Macaca mulatta: one gene and its partners. The protein of the gene in region 2 interacts with the protein of the main gene of each other region in a pairwise test. Links are inferred from orthologs where the notes say so. Each region holds a gene or a part of one and is shown on either strand. Other genes may lie near its edges.

Evidence for each region.
Region 1: the proteins of RUNDC3A (region 2) and RAP2A interact in binary tests that used the Homo sapiens proteins (3 or more experiments, as listed by UniProt). The link is inferred for Macaca mulatta from reciprocal best matches to the Homo sapiens genes RUNDC3A and RAP2A.
Region 3: the proteins of RUNDC3A (region 2) and EIF3E interact in binary tests that used the Homo sapiens proteins (3 or more experiments, as listed by UniProt). The two-hybrid records come from large-scale screens. The link is inferred for Macaca mulatta from reciprocal best matches to the Homo sapiens genes RUNDC3A and EIF3E.

Annotation. Positions count from the first base shown.
Region 1 is NC_133422.1:92,209,144-92,212,794, reverse strand, and holds part of RAP2A (ras-related protein Rap-2a), read right to left. Parts: intron 3,044-3,651; coding exon 2,806-3,043; 3' UTR 1-2,805. UniProt on the Homo sapiens protein: Small GTP-binding protein which cycles between a GDP-bound inactive and a GTP-bound active form. In its active form interacts with and regulates several effectors including MAP4K4, MINK1 and TNIK.
Region 2 is NC_133421.1:68,680,706-68,684,965, reverse strand, and holds the start of RUNDC3A (RUN domain-containing protein 3A), read right to left. Parts: upstream 2,886-4,260; 5' UTR 2,669-2,885; coding exon 2,562-2,668; intron 1-2,561. UniProt on the Homo sapiens protein: May act as an effector of RAP2A in neuronal cells.
Region 3 is NC_133413.1:118,454,763-118,458,413, reverse strand, and holds part of EIF3E (eukaryotic translation initiation factor 3 subunit E), read left to right. Parts: intron 1-1,950; coding exon 1,951-2,053; intron 2,054-2,335; coding exon 2,336-2,470; intron 2,471-3,554; coding exon 3,555-3,593; 3' UTR 3,594-3,651. UniProt on the Homo sapiens protein: Component of the eukaryotic translation initiation factor 3 (eIF-3) complex, which is required for several steps in the initiation of protein synthesis.

The DNA of each region.
Region 1 (3,651 bases), on a different chromosome or scaffold from region 2:
CATCAGTTACCATCACTATCACAGTTTAAAAGAACCCAAAAGTTGCAACATCAAAAGAAAAAAAATTCAAAGATGCTGCCTTTGTATAAAAGTAAAAAAAAGAAAATCTTATCACAAGAGCTAAAGAAAAAGTGGGTCTTTGGATCAAACCATAATATTTTTAAGGCATGTGAGAAAAACTTTCACTTATCTAAGTTGCTAGTCTGATCAGGGCATAAAATAAATCGTGACACAAGGTCAACTTTCTTCTGTAGCCACTAAGGTTTCATATGCCAACAAATGTAATCTTCCTGTTCTTAAGCATTTTATTACTGTAATATCTCAACAAACACATTCATTTGCCAACTGAGTTATATTCACACCAGATGGATAGGAATTTCCAGTTTCGGGATGTCCTTGATGCCTTGGTCACCAAATATGCAGGTTTGCGTGGAAACACTGATCAGGCAGCCAGATCAGTTATTATTCATGTCTTGACAGTAAAAGCCCACCTTGTCATCTGACACAAATGTTTTTAACTATTAATACAATTCAAAATTTTAGATCATTTTTTCCACTTTACATTCTGCCATATCTTTCATATTATTTAACCTATTTTCACATCTGCATAGCAAGTCATAATGTCAAACTGTGGGATCTTTATAGATATTTCTATTTTGCAATTTTATTTGTCAAACATTGCTATTAGTTATAGAATTCAAAAGAATCATTCTGAGAAGTTAGAGGAATCAAAACTCAACCAATTCACTAACAAGTATTTTTATTTCAGTAGAGAAATCATATATCTTGAATCTCCAATTTCTCTACATGTTTGAATCAAACCAACTTTTATGCAGTGAAATGCGTTTCAATAAAATTGGTTAAAAATTTTTTCCTATAAACAAGGTGCTTCATAACTGAGGATTATAAAAAATTATACTGAAGAATGTAAATATTCAAAATTCAAAGATTTTTGACAACTATGGCCTGGTTTCATTCACCTATCTCTTCAGCTTTTTCATTATGAAAAATACTATCAACCTTTTTTTTTTTTTCATCCTCTAAGTTTAATGCCAGTTATTAAACATTTGGGGGGCTACCAATGATTTCATAAAAGTATAAAAGACACTTTAATAATTTAAAAGAAAAAAGTTTTTGATACACTATATTCTGCAGTATAGATTCTTAGTATAGGCAAATTATCTCTGACTTGTGCCAAATTCTTCAGAACAATAAACACACATGCACACACAAACACACACTCTTCTCTCAGTGACACACGTAAGACCAGAGGTTACTTGCACAACACTGTGAAACCAACAAAATGTGGGGTGGTGTATAGATCGCAGGCTCAGTGATATTGCAGTTCTGAAGGCCAAATTCTTCTCCCAAGGCCCAGCTCAAGATAATCTTTTCAGCATTTGTAACTGAAGTTAGCTGAAGATCCCTGTATACTTGATTGTAAAACTTATGAATAGGTTTTTCCTGTGCCATTAGTCATGCAAATGATAAATACTTCACGGCTATGAAAACCAAAAATGTCAGAGCTTGAGCACCTTTTCAAAACAAAATATTCACTCCAGCTTTATTTGACACTTCAGTAATCAGGGCAAAATTGTTCTAAGAAAACCTTTATATAATTCTCCAGGAAAATTAAAGATAAAAGGCTTTTGTCCCTTACCTTCCACTCTATAATTTATGTTCACTTTTAAGCCCAAATTATTTCACATGGTTATTCAATTTTTAAAATGCCTGCAATAAAGCTCTGCTACAGCAAACTTGATTTTGAAAGCAGGTTAGCCACAGGTTACACTACAACCATAGCCCTTAAAGGCGAGAAGGAATTTGCTGCTTTAATGAACTTAAAAATGCCAGATATTCGTACTGTCCTGTGAGGTTTCTGCAAACAGGAACATGTGGATGCAACATGGCTTCATTTTCCTTACATGATGGTACTAGTTTATCTATTAGAATGCTTCTTGTTAGTAAGGCTAGGTAATCTCTTCCCATCACAGTTGCTTCCCTCTTGTTCAGTAAAGTTACAAAGACCACCCCTGCTCAGTTAACAGAGGGCGGGGTCGGGGTTTTAATTCTGATCAAACCCTTGTGAAAGCCTCCATTTTCTGTGGCAAAGCAGGTGATTTAACAAATTCTAAAGCCAGACTATTTTTATATAACCTGTTCTGACTTTTGCTCTATCAAGGATTGAAGCATGAGTTAGTTCCATGTCACAAATTAGAGTAACAGCTACAATTAAGCATCAATTTTGAAAAACAGAAATGTGTTAGCTGAGCAAAGAATCTCTCCCTGTAATGCTGTTGGCAGGTCAGCTGTTATTATCTTACTTGACGAAATACATTGGTTAGAAGCTCTATCCCAATTCCTGAAATTCAGTACTCTTGTAGGAAAATATTTCTCCTTTACTTATTTTTTTAAAGAAGACAAAATATTTTAATTGTAAGTGGTCATAGGAATTCTTCTGGTTTCTCCCTTATGGTTATTTTTAATTTATACAATAGTTGCTTCTGTCAACTCAGCGACAATGCCATCATAGCTTTCAAATGAGATCACCCTGTAGATCGATGGACTATGCCTTAAAGTTGCAGATGCATAAAGGAGACTGAGGACAAATGGTGAAAACTGTAGTTACTGAACCCAAATGTTACTCAGAGATATCAACTGACAACCACTGCTCAATTCTGAATAAGGGCTGCAGTTCTCTGTAGATTAACACCACGCATCCTGCAAGTTCTGCAGTGGAGTAGGCGAGTTTTCTATCACCTACGACATTGGGCAAATCCCATCCAGGACAGCCATATTTGGATGCTATTGTATGTTACATGCAGAACAGCATGGGTCATCTTTGTCAGGCTGAGCAGCATAGTTCATCTGCCTCACAATTTCTGCAAAGAGTTCGTCCACCATTGTTTTACTCTTAGCGGAAGTTTCCATAAAGGGGCAGCCCCACTCTTCAGCAAGTGCTCTGCCTTCATTGGACGATACTTCTCTCTCACTTTCCAGGTCCACTTTGTTCCCGACCAAGATGACTGGCACTTTCTCATACCTATGAGAGAATACACAAAACACAGACATTGTAATAGCACAAAGTTAAACAGGTCACGTGGATTTTTGTTTTGGGCGGCTATTCCAGCATAAATGATATCTTCAGTTGCATGAAAATGATTTGTACCACTTGGCTTGATACTTATCTGAGGGCATTTGAAGCTGCTCTCACAGTGGATCATAAAATGAGTTTTATGAAATGATGTTTTAATTAATCAATTATACATCCTTTAAAATCAATTTATCTTTCCAGATATACTTGGAAAATTATTCTCAGAAACTCAGACTAAATCCTCTTAATTTTTTTTCTATTCTGAGGGAGGGTTGCACAAAATTTCACAGTTGATCACATAATAAATAACTCCAATGAGCAAACAACTTATAATTATCAGCATTTCACTATGTTCTATGTGTATAAAATTGATCATGTTCATATAAAAATTAGCCGAGTATGGTAGCAGGTGCCTGTAGTTCCAGCTACTCAGGAGGCTGAGACAGGAGAATCGCTTGAACCAGGGAGGCAGAGGTTGCAGTGAGCTGGTATCATGCCACTGCACTCCAGCCTGAAAAAATGATCATGTTCGTTCTAATAGTTCTCAGATAAGAAAA
Region 2 (4,260 bases):
CTGAAAGATAGGCCCTCTTATCACTCTCATCCCCATTTTACAGATAAAGAAATTGATGGTCCAAGAGGTTGACTGATCTGTTCAGAGCTACATGGCTTATGAGGAGTCAAGCAGGTATGTCTGATTCTGATTCTGAAGACTCTGCTCTTTCTGCTACATCTGTGGCCTCCTGGCAGCTATCGTGAAGACCTAGGCCTGGAGCAGCCCCTGCTCCACCGCCCTTTGTCCTCTGCACCACAAGTCTCCAGCCCTGGAGCACTGACCTCTGCGGCTCTCAGGCCAATTGCACAGCTGAGCCGTTGTCCCCCTTCCTTTTGAACTTAGAGTTGATCTGGCCTGAGATCAGAGCCAGGTCAGTCTTGGGGTTGCACTAGAGGGAGGCAGCCTGCTGGATTCAAATCCTGTTTCCCTGTGACACTCATGTGGCCTTGGGCCCCTCTCTGAGTCCCCTCTTGCCAAATGCAAATGGGAACAATCGTACCTGCCTCATTACATTTTGGTTGAGAGCCCAGGAAGGGTTGGGAGATGGTAGGTGCCTAGGGCTGCTGGGCAGGGATGGTAAGGAGCGGGGCTGTGGCTGGGAAGGCTGGCCCTGCTGAAAGCAAGCCTGTGGTTGGGGCATTATCCCAGCTTCACTATGCCCACCCTCCTGCCAGCTTGATTTCTCCTGGTCATCTGGGTCAGACAATGATGGGGCCTGGACTGGGTTCAGCATGGCAACCATCTGGTATCTGTCCTCAGGGGTGCCACAGAGGTGGTCATTGCCCCCGGGAGCCCCGTGGTGTGCTCTCTGATAGGAGATGCAGTGGCTGCTGCAGGTTACCATGGAGACAGCGAGGCCAGGGCCCAGGGGAGCCCACGGCCTGCTAAAGGGAGCTGTTCTGGGAGCTGGAGGCAAACCATGTGACAGTGATGAGGCAGCAGGGGCCTAGGGGTTACTAAGCCTTTGTCACATCACTGACCCCCCAAAACTCTATCCTTCCCTCCCAGTTCTAAGCCACCTTCAGCCCTTCAACTTCTTCTTCTCTGGCCTATGTCAAGGAGAGTTCCCTCATTCCCCTCACGTACTCAAGAGGCTCAGCTAACTTGGCAGGCAAGAGAAAAAAGAGGAACCTAGCAGGTAGAGAGCAGAGAGGGCCAGGAAGAACGTCATTAGGAAAGGGTTCTTTCTGTGTGCCAGACACTGAGCTAGGCTCCTACATGGATGATGCCATTATCATTCTTTGGTATGACTGTGACATCTAAAATGAGGATGATGGGGCACCCAAGGCCCAGAGTGGTTAAGAGACCTCCTCAAGGTTGCGCAGCTAAAGCTGATGGAGTAAGAGCTTGAACCTCGGACCATCTGGCCCCAAAGACAGAAATCTTTGTTTTACAACACACTGGTAGGGGTTGGGGGGAATGAGGGTAGAGGCAGTGCCCTGCACTGTGGGCTGGGCCATTGCTACACTCTCTTCTTCCTTAACGTTCCAGGCATTTCTGCAGAGGTCTGATGTGCACAGCACTGTGCTGGGCACTAGGGATATGATGCTGGGAGACAGATGCAGTGTGGTTGGGTGTGTGCCCAGGAACCTGGAAGGAGCTATGGGAGCCAGGAGCCAGGGCATCAGGTGGGCACTAGTGGGCCTCAGGGTATCAGGTGGGCTTCAGCAGAGCTGAGGCCTACGTGGCAGGCAGGTGGGGCTGGCAAGGGAAGAGTGAGCCCTGTCCCCAGGAGCACCCTGCCCTGAGGGAGCAACACCTGATAGGCATGGAGGCCAGAGGAGGTTGCAGCTGACAGGGGATCCCAGCACCAGAGGAGAGTGCAGGTGTGGGCTGCAGGGGGAGTGGCTGAGCAGCTGGCCATGCCCTGGTTTTGGGACAGGGCAGGGAGGGTGAGTCACTGCAGGTTTGAAGTGGACAGGATCACTTCCTGGGCCCCACAATAGCGGAGAATCTTCCCAACCCAGGAACCGTTCACCCTCAGAGACCAGTGGCCGTGCCCTCCCGGTCTTCTCCCCTATAACCTGGAACCCAGGCTCTTGGTCCTTCCCACGTCTTGGGCGGTGCCCCTCTCCCTTCCCTGGAGGGATTCATGGGCTCTGCCCCCATGCCCAGTTGACCCTGCCCATCCCTGCTCCAGAATCTGAGCATTGGAGAACCCCACCCCAGAGGGTCAGTTTGACATGGGTGCCAATGAGGGTATGCTTGGAGGGCATTCATCCCCCCATGGGGTCCCCTCTGCCCATCCCGCCCCACTCCCAGCAAGGGAGCCAGCCATCCCCACCTCCTTCCCCCTCACACAATGTCACTTCCTGGTTCTCACAGGAAGCTGCAGTACCAATTAAACACCCCTCACCCCTCAGGCCCAGGCCCCGGCATAGGCCACTTGGCCTAGAAGGGTAGGGACCAGACTGCAGCTCCCTCTCTGGGTTCTGGGCCTGGGAGGGACAGTGGACGCATTATTCTCGACTCTTTGCTCCCCTCCCTTTTCTCCGCGGCAGCGCTCCGTCCGGGTTTCCGCAGTCCACCCCAACCCCTCTCTCTGATCACCCCAGCCCCCGCCCGCCAGCGGTGCCCACCTGCATACGGTGATCAGGTTCTTACGCTCCACAGCCACATTGCGAGAGGATGCTTTCTTGGAGGACAGCCCCAGAGCCATGGTGGTCTGGACAAAGCTCGCTTCCATCCAGATGTGCGGCCACTGCTGCCGCCGCCCGCTGCCCCCCACCCCACCCGGAGCCCCAAACCCGTCGCTGGATCACGGCTGGGCCCTCTGTCCGCCGCGGCCCCTCAACCCTTCCATGGCCATTCCCCTGCCTCTGCGCCTGGTGCCCGGCCCCCTCGCTCCCTCCCCCGGCAGCGATGCCAGAGCAAAACAAGGCCGGGGAGGGAGCTCTCCGAGGTGCTGAGCCGGGCCCCGTCAGCCCCTCCTCCAGCCGCCCGCCCCCCTCGGCCAGTGACGTCAGGGCCCTCGGGCCCCGCCCCCCAGCAGGCCGAGGACCAATCCGCAGAGGGTGCAGGGTCTGGGGGGAGGGGAAGAGCCGGGGCCCCAGGGAGGGCGGAGGGGGTTCCCGGGAGAAGCAGAGATTGGAAGGAGAAGCAGGGGGCCTGCCCTCCACCCCCACACTCTGGGCCCGAGACTCCTCGCTCCTCCCTGCCTCGAGTCTCTGGCTCCGACCTCTCTACTCCCTTGTTTCTGACCTGTGCTCCGTGGTGTCTCTGATCTCCCCCTGCCGCTGGGGGAAAGGAGGTCCTCACCTCCGTGACCCTCGTCCCCTCCCCGCCCCCTACCCGTTCAGCCCCGGCTTTCTCGGCGAGGTGGGGGCTGCGTGCAGGGAGCGCAGGTGGCTCCGGGCTGCTAACCCAGGAGGCTAAGGAGCAGCCCTAGAGACTGCATCTGCGTGTCTGTGCCTGGGCTGGACCCGCCTGCACCAGCCAGGCCGAGCCAACCTCTCCTGGGGTGGAGGATGGGACTCCAGACGAAGCCTAAGGGTCCAGCGCCTGGAACCACTTGGGACAGAGAGTGGGGAGCAGACTGGCAGCGAAGGGCCCTGGGCTCTGCGGAAGTTCCCAGCGGCAGAGCAGGCGCCTACAGTGGTGCCAAGGCAACCGGAGGGGGTGGTGGCCCACCCCCTCGCACCACCCCAGAGCCATCTGGCCTAAGGTTAACCCCTTGGCTGCCGGCATTGCTGCATAGTGCCATCAACCCTCTCTGAATGGGGTCATTGATCTCGGGCAAGGCCAGGAGTGTCCTGTAAAACTGGTTGCAGTTTCTCCCTGGGGGTGGGGGAAAATGCAGGCATAGTCTGGTTTCCCCCCCTACCCCCCGCCCTTGGCCTCCTATTCCTCTCTCACATCCCTGCTCCCACCTGCCCTGTTCCTCTATTCAACCTGTTCCAGGATTTTCAGCGGGGGGGTTCCCCTTCACCTGCTGGAATCCTCAACTCCCACATAAAGCCTTTCTGTGTTTATTAAAGGGCCTCTACCCAATTTCTCCATCTGCCCCTAGGAACATTCCTCCCAGGACTCACTCGTACCTATTCTCCAACTCTGCCTACCTGCTCAATTCACCTGATGCTCTGCCAGTGGATTGCTGATGTCTCTACATTGATTCAGATTTGCACCCACATCTGAAAATAATCAGCAGGAAGGGACCCTCTGTCACCACAAGCGGAGGAGGAGGAGACGAAAGAGCCTGGTTTTGACACCTGGAGACTGACTCCTAGCTCCTGATTCCTAGCATGAGATCTCACGTTTATGCAGCCTCAGCCTCAATTC
Region 3 (3,651 bases), on a different chromosome or scaffold from region 2:
GGAACTACTGTAGTTGGGTTGTAGAACTAACCTGCCAGCTATGTAAGATAGATGGAAGAGACTCAAGAGGTAAAGTAGTTAGAAAACTAAGAAATAGTAATGGAGCCTGAACTAGGGTAGAGACTAGAATGGGAATCAATCAGACAGTAGATATTTATTGTGTCCTGTGTACGAGGCATTGTGCTGCTAATTGGTAGACATAACGGCAAGGAATGAGGAGGATACGGTGCTTGCACTTTGGTTACATGTATACAGTCTACCTTGGAGACAGATATTCGGTAAAACAACTATAGCAAAAATAGGTGCTATGAAAGCACCCAACTGATGTATCACAGTTGGGAGAGGTGTCTTAGAAGGCTTATGAGGGTCTTATTTTAGCTGAGACCTGATGGCTTCCATGAGGATAAAAGACAGTGTATAAACACACATATATACATGCATGTATACTACATACTCTTAAGTATTTTACATGCATATGTAGGTACTCTTCCATCAGCTGAACTGACTTAACCTACTTACTAAGACTGGTGTGTTTTTAATTCTGATAAATTAAGCACTGCAATGGCCCTCTTCAACCTGATCATAAAATTGGAAAAATACAAAATGCAGATTGATATCAAATAGTATTTTAGATCAAGATCTTCATGTTCTGGTGCACTCCCTCCATCTCTTTTATCTGAAATTCAGTGTCTATATATATAGACATATACACACACACACTATATATAGTATATAGCTCCAGAGAGTGCCCCCACAGTTTATAGCACAAACATACACAATGCCCCTCAGTTTTATTTATGTTTTTCCTGAGATTATACTTATTACTGATGCTCCTTATAGTAGGTTTACTTTTTTAAAAATTTTATTTCAATAGCTTTTGGGGTACATGTGGGGTTTTTTTTGTTGCATGGATGAATAATATAGTGGTGAATTCTGAGATTTTAGCTCATAGCTTAGCTCCCACTTATAAATGAGAACATAAGATTTTTGGTTTTCCACTCCTGCATTATTTCACTTAGAATAATGGCCTCCAGTTTCATCCAAGTTGCTGCAAAAGACATTATTTTCTTCCTTTTAGTGGCTGAGTAGTATTCCATGGTTTATATATACCAGATTTACTTTATCCACTCATTAGTTGACGGGCACTTAGGTTGGTTCCTAAGTGAACTGTGAATTGTGCTGCTATAAATATATCTGTGCAAGTGTCTTTTTCATATGTCTTCTTTATACAAAGAAAGCTTTATACAAAGGTTTCCTTTGTATAACCATTATATAGTTGTCCCTTGGTATCCTTGGGAGACTGGTTTTAGGACCCTCCTGGCTGCCAAAATTCAGATTCTCAAGTGTCTTAAATGAAATGGGGTGATATTTTCATATAACCTACGCTTATTATCCCATATACTTTCAGTCATCTCTGGGTTACTGTTAAAAATGTAAATGCTATGTAAATAGGTGTTATACTGTGTTGGTTTTTTCATTTGTATTATTTTTGTATTCTTTTTTATTGTTTGTTTTTTCCCAAATATTTTCTATCCATGGTTTGCTGAATCTGAGGATGTGGGACCTGTGGATATGGAGGGCTGACTTTTAATATACCCTGATATAGAGGGAACATCATAAAACCTTTTTCTCGCTTAGATCGTTACTTGTTGAGCAGCTGGTAAATATAAAGTACTGTTCTAGAAGCTGAAGGATTTCCATAAATGCAGAATGTTACCCTACCCTCAAGGATTTTACAGTCCAGTCGGTGAATGGAATAGGTCGTGCGTAGTACAAGTCAATAGGCACAAACACATGAACAAATCAGACAGTAGGGGTCATAGTATATAAGAGAAAGGTGATCCAGAAATACCAAAAAGTCTCTGTGCAGAGTATGAGTCAACACTGTGTACATAAAACTAAGTTTTTAGGCCCAGTTAATTAACATTGCTGTTTTTACTTTTTCATTAGCATGTTGGCAGATAAATTGAACATGACTCCAGAAGAAGCTGAAAGGTGGATTGTAAATTTGATTAGAAATGCAAGACTGGATGCCAAGATTGATTCTAAATTAGTGAGTATTATGTTAGCTATGCTACATACTATCAGTTCTTGATTATACTTTTGGGAATTCTTAACTAGGACATTTTATTACCTCCTTTAATAATTTATTTTGTTTTAATGTAAAACATTTCTTTGAAGGCAACAAAAGCCTCCTATTTTTTTTCTTACTTGGTAAATATTGTCATCTCTATATAGTGCATTAAAATATGTGCAAAGGTTATGTCATGCTTATTACTCACCTGAGAAACTCTGTCATCCATTATAGGATCAATTTCCCTGTGTTTCCTTTTAGGGTCATGTGGTTATGGGTAACAATGCAGTCTCACCCTATCAGCAAGTGATTGAAAAGACCAAAAGCCTTTCTTTTAGAAGCCAGATGTTGGCCATGAATATTGAGAAGAAACTTAATCAGAATAGCAGGTCAGAGGTAAGAACCACACATTTTCTATTCTGTCTGGGATTTAGCAACCGTGTAATTGTTACATGAAGTTTGGAAGTGTATTGATATGAGTTGTAGCTGATTTTGTTTTTCTCTTTAAAGATATGAACATTTTAAGAAATTACTAAACAAATGAATTTTTTCTTAGATGCATTATTATGTTCCTAGTTTATTATAAGTATTTTTCTTTTGCTTTGACTCTTCAAAAAGAAATTGTGTTCCTAGTTTATTATAACTATTTTCTTTTGCTTTGACTCTTCCTGTGTGACTTCATTAACTCATTTCCTCAGGGTTTTCAACACATCATTTTGATACTGGCAGATGATAACTTACATGTGTAGCCCTCTTTCAAGTGTTCGAAATGTGTATTCTTTCTAAATCTAAAGAAATAGTTCTGTAAAAATGTTGATCTTATTATATGTATTAGTGCTGATCTTATACAAATGTCATTATCTTTCATCTGATATTCACATCAAAAATTAATCTCCCATTTTGGGAGATTAATTCTGCATGTTAGCAATTGAAGAAACTTGAATGGCCTTATAATTTTGGAATCCTAAACTATGTTGTTTACACATTATGATTATGTGTAACTGGAGGGTAGGAAGTCATTAGGAAACAGTTGTGGGATATGCAGAAACCCTATTTGATTGAAGTTTTAGGAACAAATTTGTGTCCGTGGAATAGTCCTTTAGTTCAAAAGGGAAGGATGCATTAGAATTTGAATTGCATATTTTAACCAAGTTTAGAATAACTGAGCCTAGAAAATAACTTTCATATGATGTTTTTTTCTGTATGCTTCAGGATTAATTTGTGTTGTTTATTGTTCCAGTATTAATGATACCGTTATTGCTATACATTTTAATTGACCATATACTATACCAGATAATAATTTTGATGTTTGTTTTGTCCTAAGTGGGACATCTGACATCTAGTAATTGCAGGAGTTAAGATCTTAGAATGGTTTGGCAAGAGTAGTGCTAAAGTAAATGCTGTGTCACTTTCTTGTATGTTAGTTTTTTTCCGAAAGTATTTTCTTTTCACTCTGTTCATTTCTTTTTGCATATTTTAGGCTCCTAATTGGGCAACTCAAGATTCTGGCTTCTACTGAAGAACCATAAAGAAAAGATGAAAAAAGAAAAGAAAAGAAAAGAAAGATGAAATAATAA